Arabidopsis thaliana: one gene and its partner. The protein of the gene in region 1 purifies or fractionates together with the protein of each later gene. This does not show direct contact. Each region holds a gene or a part of one and is shown on either strand. Other genes may lie near its edges.

Region 1 (14,932 bases):
AAAAACTGAAAAACAGATGAGAATAATAGTATAGCTATACTTATATTTTATTATAAAAATACAAAAAAATTGGAAAATAGCTTATCTATATATATATTTTTGCAGCCATTTTGTGAAATAAATCCTGGAGTTAGGACTTATTTACAATGGCTGCCATTGGCTTTTAATTATTGATTTTTTTCCAGCAATAAATTGATTAACAAACTAAAACTATTCCAAATATATTCAGCAACTATTTAAAACAAAAAATGTTTGACAAACAAAAATATAATTGCAATCCCTTAAAATGAGCAAAACACACCTAAATACATTCTTTATCTATCCAATAAATCTTTTTTCTCCAAAATTTGAACTAGATTTTGGCAACTATTTAAAACAAATATTTGTTTGACAAACCAAAATACAATTGCAATCCCGTAAAATATTTATTTTAATTATATATTTAAATTAGCGGTGTACCGCGGGTTTTTTTTAGGGGACGGATTTGGCGAGACGGGTTTGGTAGGACGTTACTTAATAACAATTGCAAACTATAAAATAAAAATAAATAGATTTAATTTGCAAACTTTTATATATACTAATTTAAAAAATAAGTTGTCCCCGCGGTATACCGCGGGTTAAAATCTAGTAGGAATATATTTTTGAAAACTTGATGAGAATGTTATTAGAATTTTTTTATGTTTTAATTATTAATTTTAATTAGCTCATTTAAAATTAGTTTGACATGAGGTAAAATTAACTGATGAGATTACATCATATGGTAAAAACTATATTTTAAACATTGTTTGTTTTCCAAGAAATTTTATCAATTTTGAGTTTTTATTTAATTATAATTTGTTATTTGTTAATATTAACTAAGATATATATTTGATATGATATATGTTACTTTTATATAAGAAGTTTAGCACATATTGATTAAGATGAATTGTGTAGATTTAAATCAAGTTTATTATGATGAAATAGATAGTGAAATAGTATTGCCAAATAGAATGTAAAATATTGAAATTGGGTTTAAAAATAGTTAATAAATTAAATTAAAAAAATATGTGGGTGACTATTTAAAATTCAAATATCTTAGTATATAAAGTATGGTATGTATTCGTTTTGTAAGATTTTTTTTTCTGCAAGAATGAAGAATGATGTAATTTGGTAAGATATAAACTTGAAATTGATGACAAAAAAAAAAAAAAAAAAAAAAACTTGAAATTCTTGGTATTAGATATAGAGTATATTAAACATGAAGTCTTAAAGGACATAATTGTAATTAGTTAATCCCTAATCATAGGGCTGTGCCTTAGTATATATATGTACATTCCTACTCTAATAATATTCAATACATTAAGCATTTACATGGTATCAGAGCTTCGATATCCTAAAACCTACTTTTCTTTTCTTTTTCTTCTTTTCAAAACCTAGCCGCCAATCATGTCTCAAGTCAACGGCCTCCCCGCCACTAGAGACGAAGCTATCGTTCTCACCCCTCAGACACTCTTTAACGTCAATACGTCGAATGTCACTAAGCTCACATCGACCAACTATTTGATGTGGAGTATTCAGATCCATGCCTTGCTTGATGGTTATGATCTAGCAGGTTATCTTGATAACTCTGTTGTCATCCCACCAGAAACAACCACCATCAACAGTGTTGTCTCTGCCAATCCGTCGTTTACTCTCTGGAAACGACAAGACAAGTTGATCTTCAGTGCTTTGATCGGAGCCATCTCTCCTGCCGTGCAATCTTTGGTGTCACGAGCCACTAACTCGTCTCAGATCTGGTCCACTCTCAACAACACCTATGCCAAGCCAAGTTACGGCCACATCAAGCAGCTCCGGCAACAAATCCAGCGTCTCACGAAGGGAACCAAAACCATTGACGAATATGTGCAAAGTCACACCACTCGCTTGGATCAGCTAGCTATCCTTGGGAAACCTATGGAGCATGAAGAACAAGTGGAACACATCCTCAAGGGTCTTCCTGAAGAATACAAAACTGTTGTTGATCAAATTGAAGGAAAGGATAACACACCGACTATCACCGAGATTCATGAACGACTCATTAATCATGAATCCAAGTTACTCTCTGATGAGGTACCTCCTTCATCCTCTTTTCCTATGTCAGCCAATGCAGTTCAGCAACGTAACTTCAACAACAACTGCAATCAAAACCAGCACAAGAACCGCTACCAAGGCAACACACACAACAACAACACCAACACCAACTCGCAGCCGTCAACATACAACAAGTCCGGGCAACGTACTTTCAAGCCTTACTTAGGCAAATGTCAGATTTGCAGTGTTCAAGGCCATAGTGCACGCCGGTGTCCTCAACTTCAAGCAATGCAACTTCCAGCAAGCTCCTCAGCCCACTCGCCATTCACTCCTTGGCAGCCCAGAGCCAACCTAGCTATCGGGTCTCCTTATGCAGCTAATCCATGGCTTCTTGACAGTGGCGCAACACACCATATCACCTCCGACTTGAACGCACTCTCTCTTCATCAGCCCTACAATGGTGGTGAATACGTTATGATTGCCGATGGTACAGGTCTCACAATTAAGCAAACTGGTTCCACCTTCTTGCCTTCTCAAAATCGTGACTTAGCTTTACATAAAGTGTTATATGTACCCGATATACGGAAAAACCTAATTTCAGTATATCGCCTATGTAATACTAATCAAGTCTCGGTGGAATTCTTTCCTGCTTCGTTTCAGGTGAAGGACCTCAACACGGGGACCCTATTGCTCCAAGGGAGAACTAAAGATGACCTCTATGAGTGGCCAGTGACTAATCCTCCAGCGACGGCTCTGTTCACAAGTCCTAGTCCAAAGACCACTCTCTCTTCATGGCATTCACGTTTAGGCCATCCATCTGCCTCCATTTTAAACACTTTACTATCTAAATTTTCTCTTCCAGTTTCTGTTGCTTCTTCAAATAAAACTTCTTGTTCTGATTGCCTTATTAATAAAAGTCATAAACTCCCTTTTGCAACCTCTTCAATACACTCTTCTTCACCACTTGAATACATTTTCACTGATGTCTGGACTTCTCCTATAATCTCTCATGATAACTATAAGTATTATCTAGTGCTTGTTGATCACTACACTCGATATACTTGGCTTTATCCTCTGCAGCAAAAATCTCAAGTCAAAGCAACGTTCATTGCCTTTAAAGCTCTTGTGGAGAACCGTTTTCAAGCCAAGATACGTACACTCTATTCGGACAATGGCGGAGAGTTCATCGCACTTCGAGATTTCTTGGTGTCCAATGGAATCTCTCATCTAACGTCTCCTCCGCATACGCCTGAACACAATGGCCTCTCCGAACGTAAACACCGCCACATTGTCGAGACGGGACTTACACTACTTACTCAAGCCTCAGTTCCAAGAGAATACTGGACCTATGCGTTTGCCACAGCGGTTTACTTAATCAACAGAATGCCCACACCGGTCCTCTGTCTTCAGTCTCCATTTCAAAAATTGTTTGGCTCGTCACCAAACTATCAGCGTCTTCGTGTGTTTGGTTGTCTCTGCTTTCCATGGCTAAGACCCTATACACGTAACAAACTTGAAGAACGGTCTAAGAGATGTGTGTTTCTCGGCTACTCTCTCACACAAACGGCGTATCTTTGTCTTGATGTTGACAACAACCGGCTTTATACCTCTAGGCATGTCATGTTTGATGAATCAACATATCCTTTTGCTGCATCAATCCGTGAACAGAGCCAGTCTTCTCTTGTCACTCCACCTGAGTCATCCTCCTCGTCTTCTCCTGCAAATTCCGGGTTTCCGTGTTCGGTTCTTCGCCTCCAATCACCACCCGCGAGTTCGCCGGAAACGCCGTCTCCTCCGCAGCAACAGAACGATTCGCCGGTGTCTCCTCGTCAAACCGGTAGTCCGACGCCGTCACATCACTCTCAGGTACGCGATTCAACTCTATCTCCTTCTCCCTCTGTTTCTAATTCTGAGCCCACTGCTCCACATGAAAATGGGCCTGAACCTGAGGCCCAGTCCAACCCAAACTCACCATTCATAGGCCCACTGCCCAATCCAAACCCTGAAACCAACCCATCTTCTTCGATAGAACAACGACCGGTTGATAAATCAACTACCACTGCCTTGCCACCAAATCAAACTACCATTGCTGCCACCTCTAATTCACGATCTCAACCACCAAAAAATAATCACCAAATGAAAACACGATCCAAAAACAACATCACAAAACCAAAAACCAAAACCAGTCTCACCGTTGCTCTCACCCAACCACATCTCTCCGAACCAAATACTGTGACTCAAGCTCTAAAGGATAAGAAATGGCGTTTTGCAATGTCCGATGAATTTGATGCACAACAACGCAACCACACTTGGGATTTAGTTCCTCCAAATCCAACGCAACACCTTGTTGGATGTCGATGGGTTTTTAAACTCAAGTATCTACCCAATGGACTCATTGACAAGTATAAAGCGCGATTAGTTGCTAAGGGTTTCAATCAGCAGTATGGTGTGGATTACGCGGAGACGTTCAGTCCGGTTATTAAAGCGACAACAATCCGAGTTGTTCTTGATGTTGCGGTCAAGAAAAATTGGCCCCTAAAGCAGCTAGATGTAAACAACGCCTTTCTCCAAGGTACTCTAACCGAAGAAGTGTACATGGCTCAACCGCCGGGCTTTGTAGACAAAGATCGTCCTTCGCATGTGTGTCGTCTTCGTAAAGCAATCTACGGACTCAAACAAGCGCCACGTGCATGGTATATGGAGCTGAAGCAACATCTTCTGAACATTGGTTTCGTCAATTCTCTAGCTGACACATCATTGTTCATCTACTCGCATGGTACTACATTACTCTACTTGCTTGTATATGTTGATGACATTATTGTCACAGGGAGCGACCATAAGTCAGTTTCTGCGGTTCTGTCATCTCTTGCGGAGCGGTTCTCGATTAAAGATCCCACCGATCTTCATTATTTCCTTGGCATAGAAGCTACAAGAACGAACACTGGCCTTCACTTGATGCAACGGAAGTATATGACCGATCTTCTTGCAAAACACAACATGCTCGACGCTAAACCGGTTGCGACTCCTCTTCCGACCTCCCCAAAGCTGACTCTTCATGGAGGTACTAAGCTTAACGATGCGTCTGAATATCGATCTGTTGTAGGCAGCTTGCAATATTTAGCTTTCACACGTCCAGACATTGCCTTCGCGGTCAACCGTCTATCTCAATTTATGCATCAGCCTACATCCGATCATTGGCAAGCAGCAAAACGAGTTCTACGCTACCTTGCGGGAACCACCACACATGGTATCTTCCTCAATTCATCGTCTCCAATACATCTTCATGCTTTCTCCGATGCAGATTGGGCCGGTGACTCTGCTGACTATGTCTCGACCAATGCGTATGTCATCTATTTAGGGAGAAACCCCATCTCGTGGTCCTCTAAGAAGCAGCGTGGTGTCTCGCGTTCATCTACGGAGTCGGAGTATCGAGCGGTGGCCAACGCTGCCTCTGAAATCCGATGGCTTTGCTCTCTCCTCACAGAATTACACATTCGATTACCACACGGTCCAACCATTTTTTGTGACAACATTGGAGCCACCTACATATGTGCCAATCCAGTCTTTCACTCACGCATGAAACACATAGCTCTGGATTATCACTTTGTTCGCGGCATGATTCAATCACGAGCTCTCCGAGTCTCACACGTTTCCACAAATGATCAACTCGCTGATGCACTCACCAAGTCTCTCTCTCGTCCACATTTCCTTTCAGCCCGTTCCAAGATTGGAGTTCGTCAACTCCCTCCATCTTGAGGGAGCGTATAGAGTATATTACACATGAAGTCTTAAAGGACATAATTGTAATTAGTTAATCCCTAATCATAGGGCTGTGCCTTAGTATATATATGTACATTCCTACTCTAATAATATTCAATACATTAAGCATTTACATTAGAATCGTCTCGTCTTTTGGTTTAGGTAGAACATGTCAGCAGCCTTGGGATATAGTTATTGATCTTTACACGGACAAATGTCCTTTGACCTGCAAGAGCTTCCTCAAGCTCTGAAAGTAAGTGTCTTTCTTATTCAGGAAACATCTCTCACTATATATATGATTCCATGAGGTTTGGTTTGTAACTGATCACTCAAAATTTTGTTAGGTCAATTAGTCAATTACTATAAGGGGTGTGTCTTTCAAAATGTGCAAAAGGGTTTCATAGCACAGACAGGTGATCCAACCGGCACAGGAACTAGTGGAGATTCAATATACAGATTCCTTCACGGTGATCATGTTCTTTTTTTAAGCGATGAGAACCATCCCGTCTTAAAACATTCAATGTATATATACATGTGTTGTTTGGAGCTTTAACAAGTTGTTGTTCTTACGCAGATGGACGGTACTTTTATTGATGATAGAAAAATACATGTAGGTTTTAATCAGAGTTCTTTCAAAATTTGGCGTCAGGTCTGGAGGAAAGACTCTCAACATGGTAAAGGTAAAAGCCCATTTTCCTATATAGACCAAACAAATCATGATTCATGAAATCCTTTCTTTGCCAAAACATGGAAAGTTAACAAAATGTTTTACAAGGTCGGGAGATCATGTTGCCAAAAGTCCCGAGAAGAGAGAGCTTCGTCGTCATGGCAGTGAGAAGATTCATAGGAGAAGTTCTCATGGTTATGGTGAAGGCAGAAAACGACACGGAGATGAACGTTATACTGAAGACAAGGCAGGCAAGTACGATGGTAGAAGACAAGAGTTCAGAGAACTGGAGAGGGTTTTCAATGATAAGTTGAGTAAGGAGAAGAAACTACAAAGAGAAGAGAAAGAGATCGTAAGGATGATGAACACAGAAGAAAAATATGCCGCCAAGAAACGAGAGTGGGGATTACATCATGTCCCGGCTCATGAGATAGGGCAGACGTAGAAACGAAATAACTTTTAGATTTAGTCGAACATGTATAGTATATAAAATACATAAATTTTAACTTTAGAATGTGTATTTTTAACTTCGTAAATCAAATTTTAACGATCCAAAACGGCAACAAAAATGACATATTCTTGACATTACATGAGTCTTCATGTCTTCTTCATCATTTTTTTCACGAGTTGCTTGATTTTTTTTTTTGAAAAATTTGATTAAATAGATAAAATGTTAGTTTAGAGATAAGTGACATATTACTCTAGAATGCATATATGGACTTTAAACAAACCTCCTTTATCTCCAACTTTTCCAAAAATAAATTATGGTTAAAATATTTTTATTAGTGTGTTTCTCACTATTAAAATAATAATGGTATAATCATTTTTTTTTTCAATTACCATAGATCATGTTTCTTGTACTTGCTTTAGATCCCATGATTCTCAACACGACTGAGAAAACCATCTTAGCACGAGATAATAACCAAAAAGTCTAAAATCCAATTTATCTCAAATTTGAGTTTACATAGTAAATTAGTATAATATATTTTTAGTTTAGTATAAGGTTTTCACATATTAAATGAATCAACCAAAACATAATACAATAATTTAACAAAGATATCCTAAATAATGTAAGATTCAAAATGTAACTTAATACTCTGTTTGGTCAACAACTTCAAATTATCTCAAATGCCAATCCCAAAAATATTGTTTTTGGACAATGAAACTCAATTTAGTTTGAATAAATTTGGGTATTTTAACTACTATCTCTCTAAAATAGATGTTTCCTCATTTTTCTACACTTAATCACTCTTTTAAATCTATCTTTTCTTTATACAATAAATACCATAGCACAAATAACATATACATTATTTTCACATTAAACAAACAAAAAAAACTAGTGATGGACAACCAAACCAGGAAAATGACAAAACATTACAAGAAAACTCACAAAAGCAAAGCTAATCTTAGAAAATCCTACCTGGCAAATCCCTCTTCATCATCATGTGGATATTAATACCGCCACGTGTTCAATTCTCTCTACACGTGTCATCTTCCCGAAGGCATTCTCAGATCGCGGGCAAAATCCTTTTCTTATCAACAAAAAAAATCTCAATAAAATAAAAAGATAAAATCTCAAACTTTCTTCTAAAATTCGTTTTCCATTTTTCTTCACTCTCTTTCCGGTGACGCCATGAACGCCGCCGTGTTTAGTCCTTCTGCTTTATCTCTCCCTATCTCCTTCTCTAAAACCCGATCCTCTTTTCTCTCCAGAAAGAAGGTAACTTTTTACTCTTCTTCTCCACTTTTGGCTTCAAACTCTGTAATCAGTGTCAAAGTTACGTTTTTGCGATATGGGTTTAGTAAAAGTTTAGATTTTTAAGTGATTGAGTGATTGTTTGGTTACAGGGCGTGAAAGGAGAATTTAGGGTATTTGCTGTGTTTGGTGATGAGAGTGGATTAGTTGAGAAGAAGAGTCAATGGAGACCTTTGTTTGATGTGGAGGATCCTAGATCAAAAGCTCCTCCTTATAAAGGAAAGTTTTTAGATGTTAATCAAGCTATTGAAGTTGCTAGGTTTGATATTCAATACTTGGATTGGCGTGCTCGTCAAGATCTTCTTACCATTATGATTCTTCATGACAAGGTTTGTTTCTACATTGATCTCTTTTGAACTTGTTTATGTCTAGTTAGTTGGTAAAGTTGTGTTTTATCGAGTTGTAGTTAAGGACATAGCTATAATATGCTACATTTAGTTCTAGGGTATATATAGTAGACGTATAGCTATGACTCTAGTAGCTCAAGTTCTTCAAATGTTGTTTTTGTAGCACTCTTTATAGTATTGACATTTGACAACCATTAATGGTTTATGTTTAGTGTTTTGATGCTAAGTTTGTGGAATGAATGTATGTTAGGTTGTTGATGTACTTAATCCTCTAGCTCGTGAGTACAAGTCCATCGGTACAGTGAAGAAAGAACTAGCTGGATTGCAGGAAGAATTATCGAAAGCACACCAACAGGTTTTTAACAATGCTATTCACTGAGAATGATTAGTTTTTTTATGAGACTTCCTCTAACTCTTAGTTGAAATGAAACAGGTTCATATATCTGAAGCAAGGGTTTCGACTGCTTTAGACAAGTTAGCCCACATGGAAGAATTGGTTAATGATAGGTTGTTACCTGGCAGAGTTGTAACGGAATTAGATAAACCCTCCTCTTCAACCACTGCTTCTGCTGTCGAGTTAGATAGGGAAAAGACAAACACGGGTGCGAAAAGCTTGAATGTTTCTGGTCCGGTTCCGCCTTATAGTCCACACTTGAAGAATTTTTGGTATCCCGTTGCTTTCACTGCAGATCTCAAGCATGATACAATGGTATGTATAGTGGTTCTTGCTTGATTTAAGCGTCTTCCATTAGTTACAAGCTTCTGAGAAATGCTATTGTTTATTTCTTAAGGTACCAATTGAATGCTTTGAACAACCATGGGTTATCTTTAGGGGTGAAGACGGGAAACCAGGATGTGTACGGAATACATGTGCGCATAGAGCATGTCCTCTTGATCTTGGCACAGTGAACGAGGGACGTATTCAATGTCCGTACCATGGTTAGTAACTCTTTCTTTAGTCTACAATGTTGATAACAAGTGAGAAACCATATCTTATTAAATGTGATTTTGTAGGATGGGAATACTCAACCGATGGAGAATGTAAGAAGATGCCGTCTACAAAGTTACTGAAGGTGAAGATCAAATCATTACCTTGTCTTGAACAAGAAGGTATGATCTGGATTTGGCCCGGTGATGAGCCACCTGCACCTATACTTCCTTCTTTACAGCCTCCATCAGGGTTTTTAATTCATGCTGAGGTAATTCTTACATTTCAAGTATATCTCCAATCCAATCATCTCATATGTATGCCGCATTTTCTCATTTGTTCTCTTATATAACTCTCAGCTTGTAATGGACCTCCCGGTGGAACACGGTTTACTTCTAGATAATCTCTTGGATCTTGCTCATGCCCCATTCACTCATACATCCACTTTTGCAAAAGGCTGGAGTGTCCCAAGGTTTCTTTTAACTCTCATTACTCTGTTCAGTGCTAAGATGAAACTTGGTTTAAGCTTTCTGTTTTTGGTACTGCAGTTTGGTGAAGTTTTTAACACCTACCTCGGGTCTCCAAGGATACTGGGATCCATATCCAATCGATATGGAATTTAAACCACCGTGTATTGTTTTATCGACAATCGGGATATCAAAACCCGGGAAACTAGAAGGCAAAAGCACACAGCAGTGTGCAACACATCTTCATCAACTCCATGTCTGTTTACCTTCTTCTAAAAACAAGACAAGACTTCTATACCGAATGTCACTAGACTTTGCTCCTATATTAAAGAATCTTCCATTCATGGAACATCTGTGGAGACATTTCGCTGAACAGGTAAAAGTACATCACAAATGGATCGATCATCTTCAACCATCGTCACAGTCTTGTTTCTTAAGTTACCGTTTCTATATTTCCAGGTCTTAAACGAAGATCTACGGCTAGTTTTAGGACAACAAGAACGGATGTTAAACGGAGCAAACATATGGAATTTACCAGTTGCTTATGACAAGCTCGGAGTTCGGTATAGACTATGGAGGAACGCAGTAGATCGTGGCGATGATAAACTACCTTTCTCCGGCTAACTGTTATTAAAGAAATCTAATGGAAGTTTTTGCAGCTCCTTATTCACCAGCAACCTCAGACAAGTGTAGGTTATTAATCTGGTTTATTCTCACCGAAGAAAGAGCTTTGCCGAGTAAAAGATCTGGAGTTTGTGGATTCATCTAAAAAACCGATGAAACAAAGAACTTTTGCGTAGATAAAAGGACAACATCCACTGTAAATCCAAAGGAGATATATTGTTATTCATTTTTCCCTGTGTACAGTTCACTCTCTATGAGAAATTGAATATCAGTTTTCCCCACTAAACTAATGTCTTCTAAGAACCAATCGAAAGTTTCTTCAGCAAAAAGAAAGCTAATATTTTCTTAGCATTGGTGGTAAAATTTGGCAATTTTTACCGGACAATTTAACCATACTATATTACCATCCAAGTACATGACTAAATTTCACATTCTGTATATGAATGATTTGGGTTTAGGACAGAACACTGAACACAACTTATAGACTTAGTAAACTGTAAACCAAAACATGTATTAAAAAGTTACTACAGACATATAATCAGAGAGATAAGATCAACTTTTTTGGACAGACCAAGACTCACAGAGAAGAGCCACAAAAAGGGCAAAAACGGAACTCAGGCTCAACAACACGATCACAGAATCGACACGTAGCTAAAGAAACTGGAGGCGGTGACAGAGACTGAGGGAAGAACAGATCACAGTCTCTACAATGAAGTAGAGGATCTTTTCCAGGCCATCTCCAGACAGGAACGAAGAAGAGCTTTATGACTTTGTCGTACTCGACCAAATCGGCTTGAGAACCGCATCTTATGCATGTTCCGGCGCCGGATTTTAGGACTTGTCTCACTTGTTGCCCTAATCCACCGACGAAGAAGAAGAACATTTTTTTTCGTTTTATTCTCCTCGTAACCTTCGTAAGAGTTCAATAAAAGTATCTGTTTAAGATTTCGTATTAAGGACATCAAATAAATATAGTAATAGAGTTTTTAATGTAAATGTGATGCCTTTGTTCTTGTTCTAGTTGTTTCTAGTCGAATGTAAGAACGAAAGTTTTTATTTTGCATTTGTTATTGTTCTAGTGGTTTCTAACTTTCTAGTAGAAAATGACCAAAAAAACAAGATAATAGAATTTTTTACATAGGACATTAAAACAAAATCTTTTAACCGTAGGTATATAATTTTTTTCTTTTTAAAACATCTTATATTTTGAAACTAGGATATATAAATATATATATATATATTTATGTTATTGAATGTTATAAAATAACGATTTAAAAACAAAACTGAAAGTTTTTATATTGAATTTTAAGAAGTCAAAACTAAATTTTGTAAATGCGCTAAAAACTTGCAGTAACATCCGAGCGAATCTCACAAACAAGAAAGAGACGGGCTAAGGTCCTCAACTTACATAATCTGCGCCAAATCCAGCTTCCTGAGGTCGAGGGATTGAGTTCCTAGAAATTCTTATTCCTTATGAGGTTGATTCTTACCCACGACACCCAGAGCGAGCCCGCAGTTGTGAAAAGTATCCAGATAAGCTTTAGAGCCAGCACCTTATTCCAAGCCACTAAGTCACGCAAACCAAGATCGCCACAGACTTTGGAGGTACAGACAATTTCCCAGGATATTTTTGCACCTCTGCCTGAATTAGGGGCTCCTTCCCAAAGAAAGGCATTACACATTTGCTCCAGTTTTCGTAAACACTGATTGGGTAAGAGGAAGATGGAGGTCTAAAAATTAATAGTAGAGAAGATGACAGACTTGAGAAGCTGCAGTCTTCCCGCAAAAGAAAGGTGCCGAGAAGTCCATGAACTATTCACTTTGTCGATGAGGGGTTGAAAATCCTGCCTCCTCATTCTGAGACATGAAGGCATGCTTCGTGTTCATTATACATACCACACATCCATAAAACAGACCAAAACGACATCGTATATCCCTGCCCAAATGCCACGTCAATGCCACAAATCGTTTGATTCATCAACCGTTAATCGCAAATTATCACCGTATATTCTTATGTTGAAATCGTCTAATTTTCTTTAAGTTCAGGTAGATTATTTGAATAATTCTTAGGTTTAGGTTTGAAATAAATCAAAGGTTTGAGTTCAGGTTGGAAAAACCCGCCAACAAAAAGTTTGAGTTGATAAAAGCCGTTTTCCCATCACATGTACTCTACTGATTTATGCTAGTGTTGTATTGTGTTACTATTTGGGTGTAACATGTTAGTATACTGCAAACATGTTAAATTGTAAATGAAGTATACTGCAAACACCTATGTGTTCTTAAATCTTAAGTAACATGTTAGTGAAGGGCTTTAGGTTCGGAAACCCGAAATTTGGTAAATTGGCAACAAAACAAGAATGGTAGTATGAGCAGCCTAAAGTCAAATCTGTTTGAAAGATAGTTTTCTGATGTGGTGAAACCAAAAGTGGAGCTTACGGTCCTCTATTTTGTTGCCTTATATCTAAATACTTAATTAGGGCTTATGGGTAAAATTGTTGTTAACAGAAAGTGAAGCGACAACAGGTATATGGTCCAAGGTAAGCTCACTAACCAAAAGTGAAGTTTGGGAACAAAAACAAATATAAATCAAAATATAAAGTAGAGAAAACCAATGATCTCAACATTCGAGAAACAAAGGGTGGATACTAACCAAAGGCACTCATGAAAGAACGAAGAAATCGTGGATACCAAGCAAAGCCATTACTTGGGTCTCATCAGCTGCAGTTCAAATTCCTCTCCTTAAAAGCATCTTTTGTGTACCGATTCATGTTCCAACAAAACCGTTCTAGCCAAAACCATGTTCAGCTTCACCACTATTGTGAAATACATTTCCTTCCTTATAGAAAATCCATTCAGGGAACAACAACTGAAACCATGAGATTGCATCTAAACGTAAGCTCACTCCTGTAACTTAGACACCTCATGGCCTCATATGTCTGAAATGGTACAGACATAATATAACATTTTAAACCCCAAATTTTCCATACCGAGCTATTGAAAATTCAGGGAGTTCGAATTCTTTTCTTTAAACAATGACAAGAAAAGACTAGCATTCTTCTACTCAGAACAAAAGTCTTATTAAGTACTAGGAATACGATCTTTGGTTAGGTGAAGTCTAATAATAAATTAAGAACTGAAGAGAATCATTAGTGAAGCAACTCTACAACAAATCCACTGATCATGTCAGTAAAATATAATAATTATTCGTCCAATTGATAGCCTAATCATATCAAAACAAATATCAATAATTCCATGCAAGTTTTCCAATGAATACACCATTTCTACATCTATATATATATATATATATATATATATATATATATATATATATTTTTGACTATTTTCTATAGAAAAATGTTTAAAACTTTTTTTTTGTAATTTTTAATGCAAATTTGTAACCAGAAAATAATCATATATTTTTTAGTGTGAGACATTTTCAATCTTATTTTTATTTTTTCCAAATTTTTTCTTTAAATGGATTCCTTAAATATTAGGACACGGAACTGGCCCTTGACAATCGCACTGTTAGCCATCCCTCCTCAACTGGTCCTGCGGAAATGACCGTGTAAAAAAAGGAGGTTTCAACGTTAAGATATTTTGCTTTTAAAGGAATTGTGTCTTCGGGTTTCCACTACAAACATAACATAACGGTTTTGGTTATTTCCAACTTTTTGCATCACTCATATGGAATATTATGAAGACAAAATACGATCCATTTGTAGTTCATTCAAGCTTTGTCAAGTTAATGCAGTTTATCTATCTAACTGCAATCCATAATTTTGAGGGTGACAATTTTTGGTCACACTTGCTTTAACTCTTAATTTTGATGGCCTTGAAATTGACGTGAAGTGTTTTTGGTCTTTGTATGTTTCTTTTTTATCGATTCAAAAAGTGTTTAGAGTTTTCAAGTCTTTTGTCAAAGTTTTACAGGGTTTAGGTTGCTTCGGACTTTGAACAAAAACAAAAAAAAAACGTTGCTTTGGACGTGTAAAGGGTGCTCTAGGCCTATGTGTTCCATGTTTGGTTTCGACTAAAACGCTTGATTTCTTGGGTAAATTATATACAGTAGCCATTGACCATGTTTTTATTTCAGGATTTGGCAAAGTAAAATGGGTCTTCCACCATTTAACCATTCAGCCAAATTCAGACGAAAATACCCCTGAACCATCAAATGGCGTCCAGTACGCACAGATCAGTTAGTTAGGATCGAACGGACGTACAGTCTATAGTTAGTTTATTAAAAATTAAAAATAATCATTTTTCATTTTTACTAGTTTTTACAGTTTTTTTTCATTTTTATTTTGTAAATATTTATTATTTTTGTACTTTTTGTTC
Region 2 (16,413 bases), on another chromosome or scaffold:
ATCTCTCTTTCCGCGTTTTCGCGCCTTGAATAGTCGAGAAGCTTCTCATGCAAGTCATCGATTGTTGGGAATATGACATGGTCTATGCAGTATATACAACCAGAAGGTGTGAATCCAAGATCTTCATGACCCATGGTGAAACTTTTCTCTAGAGACGTCACTGCTCTGTTCCTTATCTCTTCTCGGCGTGCAAGGGTCGTTTTTCGAAAAGCCTCGGAGAGTTTGAGGAAAAGATGATGAACAAAGTTAACCCCTCTCAAGTTGTTTTCTTCCATGGATGATGAACTGCTTGTGTTGCTTGCCGGGCTATAGCTATTCGCGGTATCAGTAGAGGCAGTTTTGTACCATTTTACCAACATTGTCACTGAATCTGCCATGAGATCCAATATTTTCAAGTTCTTCTCAACAGAGCTATTTCTTAAAGCAACAAAACTGAAGGCGCAATCGATGCAATAAGCGTAGCTTGACTGCGATAGATGCGATGCGTTAAATGACATTAAACCGATGAGAGCATCCACCGCTTGCTCTTTGGTCTCTGGATGTCTTCCACATAAAGAAAGTAGTTGTAAAACACTTTTCCACCCTATATTGGTATGCAGATTCGCAGAGTAGTCTATAATGATCTTGCTGACAAACTCTGTTATTGTGTCATAACATGTTTCAATGATTTCTTTGTCTATCTTCCACATTATTGTCAAGGACCTAAAAATCAACTCCTCTGGTAGATGGTCTTGAAGGTTAGAAGCAAGAATCTTGATGCATACCCTAAATAAACCCGGGAGCCCTTTTTCGACAAACGGAATGGGTGAAAAGAGCGGAAAGTTTGCAACGTTGAGTAGATATTCATGGTAACTTGGCCAAAACATGTTGAACCGGTGGACGTTAGATAATGCAATGGTTATGATCAAATCCCAACAAAACTTAACCGTCTCTTCTTCTTCGATAGCTGTACTAAACTTCTGTCCTTTCCCAGCAGCTGCATAGATTAAAGACCGACCAAGATTCAACACCGCAACATCCGGCAACACTGAGCTTTTGCTGAATATTTGACCGATCCTGCATTGTTTTATGACTTTAAGGTTTTGTTCAAACTCACTCATTCCAAGAGCTACAGATTCTTCCACGTTGTCTAATGCCAAGAAGTGTGAAAACCGACCCATTAGACTAGAACCTTGTCGTCGGTTAAATTTTGTGTCCTGGCTCGAAACATTGTTCATGTCGGATTCTGATCCGCCATTTTCTTCATTTATCTCAAACTCAATAACAGACTGTGGAAGAAGCTGAAGCTTCCTAAGTTTCAAGAGGCAATCCACAATGTTCCTCCACCCTCCTCTGATAGAATCACCAAATGTGTTAGCGAGCGTGAAAACCGCGAGAGTAGCCATTCGCGGTTTCATATCGTGACTAAATGCAAACAAAGTCTCTTCAGGTGTAGTGTAAGGGTTTAACAACGTTGTGAATTTACAAAAGGAAGCAATGAGCTCATCAAGAATGTCTTCAAGGCCATACTGAGCAACTCTTGCTATAGAGATCATAGCATCAACACATTCATGAAGCACTTCATCATCATCTGAATGCTCAAAGAATGCAGAAACTGCTGCTATTGATGGACCTGCAATGGTTGCAAACATATCCCTTCCTATTCTACGATCAAACTGACATAAACTAAAAGGTTGTGTAGTCTTTGTTCTGTTCATTAGCTCAATCCATCTGTTTGGATTCATTTCCACCGGACCGGAATGTGTCGATAAAGCGAATGCATTTGTTGCAATGGACTGAAAAAGCTCAGAGAGGTATTCCTTTGGAAGGTCATTTCCCGCGTTAATTGCCCTGTTGTTGCGGATAAACTCATCTTCTGTCATTTTCCTCCTAACTTGAGGGTTATGTTGATCCGTGTTGAGCATTATAAGCGAGTAACACAAAATGTGAACAGTATCTTTGCTTGCAAAAATATCAGATGATTGTTGATCATAGAATCTCTCAGAGAAGGCTTCAATCATACGTTCGATCTTTTGAGACTCTCCCGGTAACCGAAATGACTCAAGAAATGTCCTCAATGCGGTATCAAGATTCATACCAGTGAACTCAAATGTATGTGTAAAGCTTCTAAGAACACTGAGATGTAATTCATCAGGATCTCCAAGGTAATCTCCAATCATTGTCTTATCCAAACCCGGTGTGAATCTGAAAAATGAAGCTAATGCCATTGGATCAAGAGGATCTGAGACTAAGTAGTTATACTTCAAATACTCCAAACCCTTTTTCTCATCTCTGTTGAAATGATTTGCAGCGATCGCTAGCTTTCTCTTCTGAGCTTTCCTTACTCTTATATGATCTACCCACGTCTCAAAATCCTCTTTTGGCTTATCTATCCAAAAGGGTATGTACTCATGAATCTCAACAGGGCTTGGCTTAATCACATTGGAGTTATTATCATCTTCTTCATTACCCTCATCTTCCTCTCTATCCATATTGTCGGCGATGTTGTGAATCAAGATCACAAGACCTTCAAAGGCTTGGATTTGTATAGAGGTTAAAGGACCAGAGGTAGGGAATGTATGTCTGCATAGAACTTTTCCGGTCTCTTCAAATATATTTCTACACATCGGATCACAGTCGTAGTTTACATAAGCTTCGACTATGAAAGCAGGTTGTCGACAAAAGTTGATTAGCCCTTCAAGAGCAACTTCTTGTAACGGAAGGAAGCCTGTGAAAGCTGTAACTCTCAACAACACGAAGGAGAAGAAAGCTTCGAGTTGTAGCCTCATGAACCTAATAAATCAACACATTGTTGTTAGACAAAGTTGAGAATAAACAGAGTTTTAGGTTTTAATGTTATAAAAAACAGAGGACTTACTTGCGGAGGAAGTGATATATATTGAGTATACAACTACAGATCATTGATAGCACAAGAGGGCTTGAAGAAGCTCCATAATGGATTAAATGGTGAAATAGATCGTCCTGAACCATCCGAAGAAGCTTAGGGTGTTGCCCGATCGCATCACCGCTTAACTCAATGGCGCTATTTATTAAAACTAAAGCAAAAATCTGCACATCTTCGTCTGCAGTGTGAACGTTTGTCCCTTCTAAGTTCTCAACAACTTCAACAACATTGAGCAACGAACATAAGAAATGAAAAATGTCGATGCAACATCGGATTCCATATCCGCCGCTCATGTCGATTTCGTCAGTATCAGATTCTGAATCCTCACCACCTTCGTCTCCTCTGACCTCAAAATCAGGTAATCTGGAGAAAATGATCTGAATCAGCTCATGCATTGTGTATCTTCCATTTCGTTGCAGCAAATCTCCTCTACCGGTAGATTGTTGCACTACTTGGAAACATGTATTGACTATTGTGCAAACCGCTTGATCTTCTAATAACTCCTGTTTTAATACATAACTTATTATTACTGTCTTAAAAGAGGACAAAATAAACATTTGTAGTAAAAAGATTATAGTTAATGAACGTACAGAGGATGGATGTTTCATGATTCCGGTTAAAACTTGAAGAATCCTCATCATTACAGCATCTTCAGACACCAAATCTGTTTTCTCCAAACGACAACTAGTAATCCCGGAGACAATAGAATTCATAGCATCTTTTGCACCAGGTGTTTTCTCATCGAAGATCTCGATTTTAAGGATCTTTAAGATGGAGGAAAGAGCGACAGCTGTGGCGCTAGCCGGAATCTCATCGCTTTGAATAACTTCGAGGAAAGGAGAAAGATAAACCGAAGGATCTATGGTGCGCCAATCTTGTTGAGGATTGAAAATAAGAGCTCTAAGAGATTTGAGAGATTGTTGGACTGATGAATCACAGTGGTCTGTTTCTTGGGGAGAAAGGTAACTTTCTGAAAGGGGTCTACGAATGACGGCAAGGACTGCACCAACCTCCGTGTTAAGCATGCATGATATCCCTAGCTCTTTCCGCTTTGCTCTTACGGCGATACGATCCATTTCTCACCTTATCACACTCTTCTTGCCGATAAAGAAGAAAAATCATTCAGCAACTGTTTTTTTTGTTGTTCTTCGTTTTTATTCTTTATGTGTACGGTGTTGCCTTGCCTTGGTTTGATCCTATATTTAGTATATAAGTTTTAGTGGCTGAGACTCAGTGATGGGTGAGTTTCAACCATTTGTCATCACACATCTAGGAAAACTCCATCATCAGCTACCGTCAATTTCTTTAAGGCTTAAGATAGAAAACTAATGTACGTTCTGCAAAAATTCAGATTTAAGGATACATTATTTGGATCAAACGTATGTGTTCAAGGTTTTTTTTTCTTCTTCTTTTAAAGTAGAAGCAAACTCTACGATGATTGGAGTGGAAACCATTTTTGTAGGATTAGGCCTCTTCATACTGATCTGAGTCAGACTTTGCATAGCTGAAGTTTTTTTCCTCTACTATTCAATTAACCAGTAGAGAAAAACTGACGCTTAAGAGGTTAATGGAGCTTAAATTTTACCAAATTCAGACCATAACTCTATTTATGTACTGGTCCTAGTGTTTCCAAGAGAATATATCTCTCAGCTTAAATTTTACTAAAATTCAGACCATAACTTATTTATGTACTGGTCCTAATAAGATGAATGTTTTAAGGGTTTATGGCTTGCTTAAGAAGAGCCAAAACTCTCTATAATTAACAAGTCTAAAATTGACAAAATTAATATAATTGGTTTTGTTACATGTTTGTGACCATAACTACTAAAAAAATTCACAGAAAAACTATTCAATAATCCTTGTTTGTTCATGTGTGTGATCTATTAATCAATAAAATCAAGAAAATGGATAGGAGAAATCAACTAACGTTTTTTTCTCAAAAATCTATTTATTTATTTTGATTAACATGTTTTGAACGTTAGTTAACTAATTTACCCTACAAAAAACTAATTTACCGTCAAATAAATGAGAAATCCCCTTAATGAGAAATTGATTATTTTCCAAAATATTTATTTGACGCAATTTTATTTTCATTTTTGAAAATCCAGTAATTTTACAAAACCTAATAATATACTCAAAGGAATGTTTACATAAAACATTCAAAAAAATAATTTGTTTTTTGTTTGTTCGTAAATGGGCTTTAACATCACCTCCTTTTCACTCTATCATCTTCTACTCCGAGTCTCCGAATCAAAAAAAACCCTAGCTCTTATTTTTTGTTCTTAGATTTTATCTCTTAAGCTCTTCTTCTTCCTTGACATTTCCTCAATTTCACTCCCGAGTACGATTAACAATGCATTGTCACAACGATGATGTTCGCTTCTCTTCATCTTCTATCAGAATCCATTCTCCATCTCCCAAAGAACAACACTCTTTACTCACCAATCTCCAATCCTGCTCTAAAACCTTCGTCTCTCACCTCTCAAATACTCGTAACTCACTAAACCAAATGCTCCAGTCGCTAAAGAATCGCCACACTCCTCCTCCACGTTCGGTTCGTCGTCCCAATTTACCGACTCAGATGCTCAATTCAGTAACCCAGCTTATGATTGGGAAGTCTTCTCCAATTTCATTGTCTCTTATCCAATCCACCCAATTCAATTGGTCTGAATCAAGAGATGAGAACGTTGAGACAATCCGTGGACTAAGCTCGCCTCTGCTCTGTTGTGCCTCTTTGTCTCTAACTAGACCTAACGAGTCGACTCAGTCAGTGGAAGGGAAGGATACAGTACAGCAGCAGAAGGGTCACTCGGTGAGTCGAAATGCGGAGGAACGAGTTCTGATTAGTGAGGTTTTAGTAAGAACGAAAGATGGTGAGGAACTTGAGAGGAAGGATTTGGAAATGGAGGCATTGGCTGCTTTGAAAGCTTGTAGAGCTAATTCAGCGTTGACTATTCGTGAGGTACAGGAGGATGTACATAGGATTATAGAAAGTGGGTACTTTTGCTCTTGTACTCCTGTTGCTGTTGATACACGAGACGGGATTCGGTTGATGTTTCAGGTAATATTTTGATTGTTACTCTTTTTGTTGGAGGAGAAAGGTCTCGTTTTTATGTTTCTGGGATGCAAATAATTCTCATTTTCTTGCCATAAGGTAGAACCAAACCAAGAATTTCGTGGGTTAGTCTGTGAAAATGCAAATGTTCTTCCTTCCAAGTTCATACATGAAGCTTTCCGAGATGGGTTTGGTACGTATCCTCCAATTTAGCTTGTTTTTTTTTCTTCTGTACTGTACTAGACTTATCTGTCAATTCATTGATTTACGTTGGGAGTAAAATGGATTAATGATATTGGAACCTGACAAATATTTCGAGTACTAATGATGAAGCTAAGAATTTTCTAACACATGGTGTAAAATGTGTTAGCCTTGAATGAAGAAGATAGATTAGAGGTAGGTAGTATTCTCAAAATGTATCCATGCTCCAAAACAGAGCATAATTTGAAGTTGCATTTAGTTTACACATATTAATGTATTGAGGCTAGTTAGGTGGATTCCTTCTGTTCGGTGTGTGTTTGATTGGAGAGGGTAATGGTTAGTAAATGTTGGTGTCAAGCTGTGTAGGGAAAGTGATTAATATTAAGAGACTGGAAGAAGCTATTACATCCATCAATGGATGGTACATGGAGCGTGGTCTTTTCGGAATTGTAAGTGCTCTTTTTACACCATAATTACTTTTTCAAAAAAAAAAATCATCCTGGATTCAGTCTTATACTTTGTGGTTAGAATCATCATTCTGTTGTCTGCCATTGTAGGTTTCAGATATTGATACGCTTTCTGGAGGTATAGTAAGGCTTCAGGTTGCTGAAGCAGAGGTTAACAACATATCCATCCGATTCCTTGATCGTAAGACGTAAGCTGGTGCCAATCCCTCCCTTATGAATGTAGTTTATATTGGTTTAAATTGTAGGCAATTCTGGATGGCACTGGTAGCTTCCTTTTATTTCAACTATTAGATTACGATTTCATTGATAATGGTGCCTTCTATATTTAGTGGGGAACCAACTAAAGGGAAGACTAGCCCTGAGACAATACTACGGCAACTTACAACAAAGAAGGGACAGGTATTTTTTGGGCATTTCTCAGCTTAGATGTAAAGATAAGTCGCTGACTAAAACATCATAAACTATCTGAGCTGTATTTTTATGCTAAATAACACTTCTGAGTGCATCATCTGTGTATGAAATCCTTTGGAGATCTTATTTTTAATTAAGGTTAATCACTCTTTATGGTATCATGTATGTTTCTTCGTAAAATTTGGCCTTAAAGTCTTTATGCATGAGCGTCTAAGTAGGGCCTCTACATACACATCTTGTCTAATCTGGCTTTTGGTCAATTTAGGTCTACAGCATGCTTCAAGGGAAGAGGGATGTAGACACTGTGCTAGCCATGGGAATCATGGAAGATGTTAGTATTATTCCTCAACCTGCAGGAGGTGTGTAAATATATTTCTTTCTTTTCAGCTAATACTTTTAATTTTCATCTTGTGCTTAAGGTGCAGTAGTATGAGTGAAGAAAGTATTTTCCTTGCTTATCCTTAGGCACAGTAACAAAAGGTTTTGACAGTGTCTGATTCTGAAACTTTCTTCTTTTCCTTGTTTTTTATTCCTGTTAGATAGTGGGAAGGTTGATTTGATCATGAACTGTGTCGAGCGTCCCAGTGGAGGCTTCTCTGCTGGTGGTGGGATATCTAGTGGGTAAGTTTTAGTTTGTTTGCTACTTACAGCGATTCAATTTTTTTCTTTTGTAGCTTGATGACAACTTTTGTCCAATTCTTTTGTAGGATCACAAGTGGCCCCCTATCAGGATTAATTGGAAGGTAAAAGTAATGTATATTTTATTTGTAATGATTTTTTTTTTATTTCTGGCCTAGGCTGTGTGTATTACATTACTGATGTAGTTGAAGTAATCATTTTATGCAGCTTCGCTTATTCCCACCGCAATCTGTTTGGAAGAAACCAGAAGCTTAATGTTTCCTTAGAGAGGGGTCAAATTGACTCTATATTTCGTATAAACTACACTGATCCATGGATTGAAGGAGATGACAAGAGGACGTCCAGATCTATTATGGTTCAGGTAACACCTTTACTGGTTATCTCAATGAGATTGCTGAGATGACTAATAAACTAATGAACTTCATCTTGAGTTAGAATTCAAGAACACCGGGGAATCTTGTTCACGGCAATCAACCAGACAATAGTAGTCTCACAATTGGTCGGGTTACAGCAGGTGTTGAATACAGTCGTCCATTCAGGCCAAAGTGGAATGGTACTGCTGGACTTATATTTCAGGTCTCTACTGTTCCCAATATTTTCTAAGTTTCTGTACCAATCCAGAGTAATATTGGTGTTAAAGCAATTAAAATATATGTTCTTGTCGTTTCTGACTAGATCCAAACTGGTAAATTTTTTACTTTTTGACCAATATATACGTTACCCTTAATTTCGTTTTGAATTTCATGTTTCAGCATGCTGGTGCTCGTGATGAACAAGGAAACCCTATCATTAAGGACTTCTACAGTAGCCCTCTAACTGCAAGGTATATATATGTCCCAATTCCCAAAGAATGATTTGTCTTTGGTTCTGCTCACTGTTTTCACCAATGCTGTATTTGGCCATATGAATTTGATAGATGCCATTATTAATGTTTTCTCATGCAGTGGTAAGCCCCATGATGAGACCATGCTAGCAAAACTTGAAAGCATTTATACTGGCTCAGGTGACCAAGGATCAACGATGGTCAGTCTGATACCTCTGTTGGTACATCTTCCCCTTCTTTTTTCAGTGCCTAATTCTATCTGTATTTTTATACCAGTTTGCGTTTAACATGGAACAAGGGCTTCCTGTTTTGCCCGAATGGTTATGTTTCAATCGAGTGACTGGACGTGCCAGGAAAGGCATACACATTGGACCAGCTCGTTTCCTTTTTAGGTATGCTAACTTCCTTTGAGGCATATAATTTTCTTGAGGTCTCTATTTACCTTTTGGGATTCGAATCATCATTTCTAAAGTTTTATATAGTGTATCTTACCTTGTTCATGTTTATAGTCTGTCTGGTGGACATGTGGTGGGAAAATTTTCACCTCATGAAGCATTCGTCATCGGTGGAACAAACAGCGTAAGAGGTTACGAAGAGGGCGCTGTAGGATCTGGTCGGTCATATGTAGTTGGTTCAGGGGAGCTGTCTTTCCCAGTGGTGGGTTTTTCTTTGAACATTCCTAAGATCTCATTTCACAATGGTGTAAAAATCATGACTCTCATTCTTACCCTATTGTGCAGAGAGGACCGGTCGAAGGCGTCATTTTTACAGATTATGGCACTGATATGGGATCAGGATCCACCGTCCCAGGTACAGACTAGGCTTTCGTTTTTTTTTTCTCCTTCTGAGCCTTTCCATATATGCTTGTAATAGCTTTAGAATCTCAGGGAACCTTCATCTTTGTTATTTTCTGCCCTTTAGGTGATCCTGCGGGGGCAAGACTGAAGCCCGGAAGCGGTTATGGATATGGTTTAGGGGTGCGTGTTGATTCCCCGTTGGGGCCGCTACGCCTTGAATATGCCTTCAACGATCAACATGCGGGAAGGTTTCACTTTGGGGTTGGTCTGCGGAACTAAATTTTCCTGTTTCTTTTTTAGATTCGATAAGTGTTTTGTCGGCCTTTGTCGCACATTCATCTAGATGATGCTTGTCTATTTTGATAATTTATATCATCTTATGTAACTCACTGTTTTGTGAGTGGTTTGTGCATGGAGAGAGATGTCGCGTATGAATGCTTTTCATGTAGATGATTTTCATTTTACCAAACTCCCAGTTAAAATTATTAATAGAACCAAGATTAGGATTTTTATTCTTCATCCTAGTATGAACCTGATTTGTCTCCTTAGGATGTCACATGATCGTGAGCAAACTCTTCTCGATGCAATTGCAAAGCTTGAAGAAATGTCCGATAGAGTGATAATAACTCAACATATGAAAACAAGTCTTTTAGTGCGTAGTGTACAGGGACATCAAACTCCTATCGTGCTAGTAAAGATTTATCCAAGTAATTTCCGGACATACACCAACGTAGTTCGACGAGGATGTAATAATCCCCTAAGGTCTATCTTTTCATGTGGTATTTTACAGGGATGAAATAAATTTACATATAATATCGGTCACCTGAGAATCATATTCAGGTCCTTCCATCTGGAAATGACTAACGCCTTCAATGAGGTGTGTTTCAGTGCGTCCGACTGCAGATTTCAGCTTCTTCTTTAGCTGGCTAACGCTAGTGAACCCGTCTTGTGTTCCCATTACGAAGAGTTTGGGTTTAGGGGATGAGAGAATGGCCTTGTGGTGTCGCCCAAAGAGAATCGAGGCCATTAGGCCAAATGGGTATCCCAAACTCACATATCCCACCACTTGCTCTACTTGCTCCACCGCTGATCCTGCGATTGGTGCACCTGCCAAAGAGTCAAAACTTCAATTATTTTTCCTTTAACCAATATAAAGAAGTTGGCATGAGATATCAAATTTGTCTCAGAATATTCATTTGAAAAGTAATGTGATCACTTCATCCATTAAACACGTCATATCAGAAAGTTAGTCGGTCACTATGATCAGTATAGGTAAGAGATGTGTTAGATGCTGTAGTATTTTATCTACAAATTTCTTATTTGCTATTGGTTCTATGCTCAGCAAGAAATTATGGAAAATACATTATGTGTAACAAACACGCAAAGAGATGCAAGTATACCAATAAAAGGGGGCACTGAAAGCAATCCTAGAAGAACTGATACGTTCATAGTCTTTAAAAAACTCCTGAAAGGACTCATATATCATCAATTGCAGTTTTGCAAATATGTGTAAGGGACATCAAAACAGAATTATGACACACAAACAAGAAACAGAGTTATCTCGGTAGATAAGAAGAACAAACGAGAATTTCCTTTGGGAGACTGTAACATCTGATAAAGTCTACCTCAAAACCACCTAGACACTCTAAATTGACTCTGTTCAATGTTAAAACAATGCTAATCTTCTTCTTTCCACAGTGGATTGAACTTTCTTACTCCATTCTCATCTTATCAGACCATCACTATACTCAAACATGGAACGTCAATTACATCAACTAAAACCACTTAGAGATACACGAGAGAGAAAACCTGGAACTTAACATGACCAACACCAAACCGGAACAAAGTTATCTCAGCTGATAATATCAACTAAATGAGCAAACAAAAGAGCATAAGCATAAACCTAAAACCAATTATTCTGTGTCACCAATCCGTTGTAATGTTAATGAGAAGTGAATAAGCAGCAAAAGGGTCACATTTTATCTTAAAAACCAACAGATCAAACACAAATTTTAACATAAAGCAATGCCCAGAATCTGTATACGAATCCATATACTGAATTCGAAATCAACTGTTACAGATCAACTTGTAAGAAGCAATTACCAGATCAAAAACATCAGACTTTAACTTGCAATCAAATTCAAACTAAAACCAGATCAACAACGAAAGGAGCAACAAAATCAAAACTTGAATGGCATAGAAGAACCTTACCAGCAGAAGAACCCACGAGCAGGATCCTATGAGCATCAACATTCTGACAAAGCCACCGACAAACAGCGACCACATCCTTGACCTCAGCAAAGCCGGTAAGAGTAGCTCTTCCGGTGGATTTTCCGGCACCTCTCGTATCGAAAGTGACAGACTTGAAACCCTTAGAGGCCAATTCAGAAGCTATGCCTTTGAGCAGAGCTTGACAACCACCCAAGAGCGAGAACGGGTGGACCAATACTATCACCAGATTCTCATCGTCGCTGACTTCTTCTCCTTCGTTTCTGGGTTTGAAGATTCTCGTGTGAAGCTTCACCCCTTCTTCTGAATCAACGCTACACGATTCCACTATAAAGTTTGACGACATTTTAGGAGAGACGACGAATGAACAAGTAAGGAACTTTTTTGTTTTACACTTCTTCCAGAGTTATTAATATGTTGATAACCACTACTCCACTAGCACGAAGCCAAAATTTTCTCAATATATATATATATATATATATATATATATATATATATATATATATATATATATATAGATTACTAATACTTGCAAAAAAAGTTCTTTACTTTTAAAAATCAATATATTTATATAGTAATAATTGGCTAATAAATTTATATATTTCAAAATAAGATTTTAAAAATTATCCACAAAATAAAATCAACGGTTAGAAGTTCTACTCAATGTTAATACTCTTCATTACGGTGTGCTTTTGGACCATGTTTGGTTTTAAATAATTCTTGTAAAATTATACTTGTGGGGCTTTTGTTTATTTTAGCCCATGTTTATTGGTTCAGTTTAATAATATCAGACACTTGTGAAAAAAATAAAGATTATAAAAAATTTTAATTAAAAAAAATATTCGATAATATATCTCATATATAAATTTCTTATTTGATATTTTTCTGTTGAAGTGATGATTTCATATGTCATAAATTATATTGTAAGAAAATGTGCATATTAGTTATTTCATATTCGCAGTTCAAAATTATATACTTATTAAGATAACCCTTTTTGATATTATCATAAAACAAAAATATATTTGGTTTTCTATTTTTGTTTGAATTGTATATGATCAGAATGGCGTTTTTTTGTTTGTTCAATAATAATTTTATTAAGTCACCACCATATTGACTAATTAAAAAATGGGATTGTGACACGTTTAGGCACTTTTTGATAATATTATTCTTTTTGAGACACTTATGAGAGAGTGAGCACTTTGCCATCTTTTTGAGAGAAAATTGGACCAATTTACCCCTAAAGTAGTGATTACGCAATAATTTTAACTCATTATTGTTGAGATCGTGTGGGTGAGAAATTTTCTTCTTTTTATCATCTCTCTCTTCCATATTCTTTTGTTTTTCATCATTTTCAATTCTCTCTTTCAAAATCATTGTTGTTCTCTATAATTCTTACAAAATCATGGTCGTTCCCATTAATTTTCTCTCCTTTCCATAAGAAATCACCAATCTTCATTATACCATATATAATCTCCTCATAAACTTTCGATTTGTCGTCTCCTCATAATCTCTTCATAATCTCCAAGTTTGAGATCCACGACAACAAACCCAGGAAGAAGATGATCATCATCCTTGCGATTCTCAGAATCCTCTAACAATAAGTTTCTTTGTTATTGTCTCTACTGATTTTTTCTGTTTATATCACCGTGAAATTCTAGATATTACGATGTTACAGAGATTAGAGGTCTTTGTTCATCGTGAATTTACTTGCGATTAAATCGAACAATTAGTGGATTAGGCTTTTATAGTTTGCTAGTCATGTTTTTTCTGAAAATATTGAAGTTATGGGTTTAATTTATTTGAAAACTGATAGAGAAGCCCAAGTTGATATATCGAACGTTGATGGATGTGTTTGGTAAATCTTTGTTCGTGGATAAAAGTGTGTTTGTAGCTCGCTCTGCTTTTGTTATTGGTATGTGCATTATGGATGGCTTATTATGGATTGTGAATTATGGATTGTTATGGTGAGATTTGTGAATCTTTTCATGTTTGATTAATAGGTGAACAATCCCAAAAACAAGCTATATGTGGTGATTTTGTTACAATGATGTCCATATTAATTGGTGGTTACAGAACACTTGCTGCAAAGGCTACAGAACAGTGGCTGAAAAGCGGTGGATAGAGGACATTGACGAGTGTCCAAAAAATCAAGTCCAAATGGTCACCTAGTAACTCACATGTCGTTTCATATCAATGCACAAATTTAGACATGAACAGTAATCGTCGATAAAAAATTGTTGAGCTTTTGGGGTTCTTCCTCTATTTAACTTTTAGAGGTTCACTTCTCTTACATCTCTCATTTCTCATTAATGCTTTGCTTAACTCACTCATTTTAACACAAGCACAAAAAGAACCTTCACTCTCTTTCTCTCTAGTCTTTGGTTAGTTTCTTGTTTTGACACGAAGACATAAAACGATTAGTAAGAGAGAGAAAAGAGAAAACATTAGTTGTCAACATTTTTGTATTGGATCTAAAGATAAATTCTTATAACAAGACATACACACATTTGTGGATGGTTATAATTGTTAAATCCAACTTTTAATTTTACTGAAATTACAGAAGATCTCTACAAGGTCTCAAAGGCTCACGTTGTATCCATGAAGCTAAAGTTCATGAACCAAAATTAGCAAAGGCTGTCCACAACACTGACTGTCATTATGATGTGTGTCCATATATCCAACGTTTTATGGTAGAGTTTATATAGTATAGTATGTGAATGTATTAACCTTGTGGATGTAATTGTATGGTTAATTTTGTTCATTTAATAAGATTAACCAAATTAATTGGTCATGGTTTCCAAAATAATCTCGAATCCTTTGTAAAAAAAAACTAATCTGCGAAATATAAGTGAAGAGAATCAGAGCTAGATCCACGTTTGAGAGGATAACGTCCTCTTGACGGAGATATGATTGTTGGAGCGGCAAAAAGATAGGGTCTAGAACTTCGAGAGAAAGAGAGAAACGTAACTTGCCCAAGTGGTTACAATTTTGATGCGGTTGTTGAAATTCGGGAGAGGCTTCACGATCATGGAATCGAAATCGAAAGAGAGAATGTCGATAGCGTTGTTGTAATTTTCGAGGAAACTTCTGACGGAAATTCTGTGACCGGAGACTTTCACATGTTTTGGAATCGGATCCAGCAGACAAAGGTGGATTTGAGAATATATTTGAAAAAGATCTCGAGAGAGAAAGAAGAAGAGAAGCAATAGATTGTTGAGAGATAAGGAAGATGATGATAAACCTTAAGAGATTCAATTTTGAATATTAAGAGTGTCCTAAAAGATTGGATTTTTATTCTGGAAAGAGAGATGAAGAACAAGAGAGGCCAAAATTGTTTTTGTATTCCTAAAAAAAAAGATAACGAAGAGATATTACTAGAGAATATTACGTGTTGAGGCACTTTTCTGAAAGTTTAGCCGTAATTAGGCACTTCACAATCATTAGACACTTTTTTGATGTGAATTGACATCACTACCCTTTAACTATCTCTTCCTTTGCTTAGTAATATCTCTTCGTTATCTTTTTTTTTAGGAATACAAAAACAATTTTGGCCTCTCTTGTTCTTCATCTCTCTTTCCAGAATAAAAATCCAATCTTTTAGGACACTCTTAATATTCAAAATTGAATCTCTTAAGGTTTATCATCATCTTCCTTATCTCTCAACAATCTATTGCTTCTCTTCTTCTTTCTCTCTCGAGATCTTTTTCAAATATATTCTCAAATCCACCTTTGTCTGCTGGATCCGATTCCAAAACATGTGAAAGTCTCCGGTCACAGAATTTCCGTCAGAAGTTTCCTCGAAAATTACAACAACGCTATCGACATTCTCTCTTTCGATTTCGATTCCATGATCGTGAAGCCTCTCCCGAATTTCAACAACCGCATCAAAATTGTAACCACTTGGGCAAGTTACGTTTCTCTCTTTCTCTCGAAGTTCTAGACCCTATCTTTTTGCCGCTCCAACAATCATATCTCCGTCAAGAGGACGTTATCCTCTCAAACGTGGATCTAGCTCTGATTCTCTTCACTTATATTTCGCAGATTAGTTTTTTTTTACAAAGGATTCGAGATTATTTTGGAAACCATGACCAATTAATTTGGTTAATCTTATTAAATGAACAAAATTAACCATACAATTACATCCACAAGGTTAATACATTCACATACTATACTATATAAACTCTACCATAAAACGTTGGATATATGGACACACATCATAATGACAGTCAGTGTTGTGGACAGCCTTTGCTAATTTTGGTTCATGAACTTTAGCTTCATGGATACAACGTGAGCCTTTGAGACCTTGTAGAGATCTTCTGTAATTTCAGTAAAATTAAAAGTTGGATTTAACAATTATAACCATCCACAAATGTGTGTATGTCTTGTTATAAGAATTTATCTTTAGATCCAATACAAAAATGTTGACAACTAATGTTTTCTCTTTTCTCTCTCTTACTAATCGTTTTATGTCTTCGTGTCAAAACAAGAAACTAACCAAAGACTAGAGAGAAAGAGAGTGAAGGTTCTTTTTGTGCTTGTGTTAAAATGAGTGAGTTAAGCAAAGCATTAATGAGAAATGAGAGATGTAAGAGAAGTGAACCTCTAAAAGTTAAATAGAGGAAGAACCCCAAAAGCTCAACAATTTTTTATCGACGATTACTGTTCATGTCTAAATTTGTGCATTGATATGAAACGACATGTGAGTTACTAGGTGACCATTTGGACTTGATTTTTTGGACACTCGTCAATGTCCTCTATCCACCGCTTTTCAGCCACTGTTCTGTAGCCTTTGCAGCAAGTGTTCTGTAACCACCAATTAATATGGACATCATTGTAACAAAATCACCACATATAGCTTGTTTTTGGGATTGTTCACCTATTAATCAAACATGAAAAGATTCACAAAT

Evidence for each region.
Region 2: the proteins of CH1 (region 1) and OEP80 purify together in Arabidopsis thaliana (affinity purification with western blotting, with the first as the bait; one study listed by BioGRID). This does not show direct contact.

What each region holds. Positions count from the first base shown.
Region 1 is NC_003070.9:16,844,329-16,859,260, reverse strand, and holds CH1 (Pheophorbide a oxygenase family protein with Rieske 2Fe-2S domain-containing protein), read left to right. Parts: upstream 1-7,989; 5' UTR 7,990-8,108; coding exon 8,109-8,195; intron 8,196-8,250; exon of another isoform or gene 8,251-8,323; coding exon 8,324-8,560; intron 8,561-8,828; coding exon 8,829-8,933; intron 8,934-9,011; coding exon 9,012-9,287; intron 9,288-9,369; coding exon 9,370-9,517; intron 9,518-9,592; coding exon 9,593-9,777; intron 9,778-9,865; coding exon 9,866-9,978; coding exon of another isoform or gene 9,979-10,054; coding exon 10,055-10,349; coding exon of another isoform or gene 10,350-10,432; coding exon 10,433-10,597; 3' UTR 10,598-10,953; downstream 10,954-14,932. Other genes in the region: AT1G44478 (Cyclophilin), read left to right, coding at 6,023-6,061, 6,176-6,283, 6,383-6,488, 6,592-6,920; AT1G44414 (zinc-ribbon domain protein), read right to left, coding at 11,175-11,480. UniProt on the Arabidopsis thaliana protein: Catalyzes a two-step oxygenase reaction involved in the synthesis of chlorophyll b. Acts specifically on the non-esterified chlorophyllide a and not on chlorophyll a.
Region 2 is NC_003076.8:6,618,086-6,634,498, forward strand, and holds OEP80 (outer envelope protein of 80 kDa), read left to right. Parts: upstream 1-5,111; 5' UTR 5,112-5,237; coding exon 5,238-5,945; intron 5,946-6,038; coding exon 6,039-6,132; intron 6,133-6,506; coding exon 6,507-6,589; intron 6,590-6,697; coding exon 6,698-6,795; intron 6,796-6,936; coding exon 6,937-7,006; intron 7,007-7,283; coding exon 7,284-7,377; intron 7,378-7,557; coding exon 7,558-7,639; intron 7,640-7,725; coding exon 7,726-7,761; intron 7,762-7,864; coding exon 7,865-8,018; intron 8,019-8,092; coding exon 8,093-8,233; intron 8,234-8,409; coding exon 8,410-8,480; intron 8,481-8,601; coding exon 8,602-8,680; intron 8,681-8,756; coding exon 8,757-8,872; intron 8,873-8,989; coding exon 8,990-9,137; intron 9,138-9,220; coding exon 9,221-9,290; intron 9,291-9,401; coding exon 9,402-9,556; 3' UTR 9,557-9,809; downstream 9,810-16,413. Other genes in the region: GNL2 (GNOM-like 2), read right to left, coding at 1-2,772, 2,858-3,387, 3,475-3,960; AT5G19630 (alpha/beta-Hydrolases superfamily protein), read right to left, coding at 10,062-10,384, 11,489-11,852; AT5G19633 (uncharacterized protein), read left to right, coding at 13,349-13,418, 13,507-13,628. UniProt on the Arabidopsis thaliana protein: Plays an essential role during early stages of plastid development.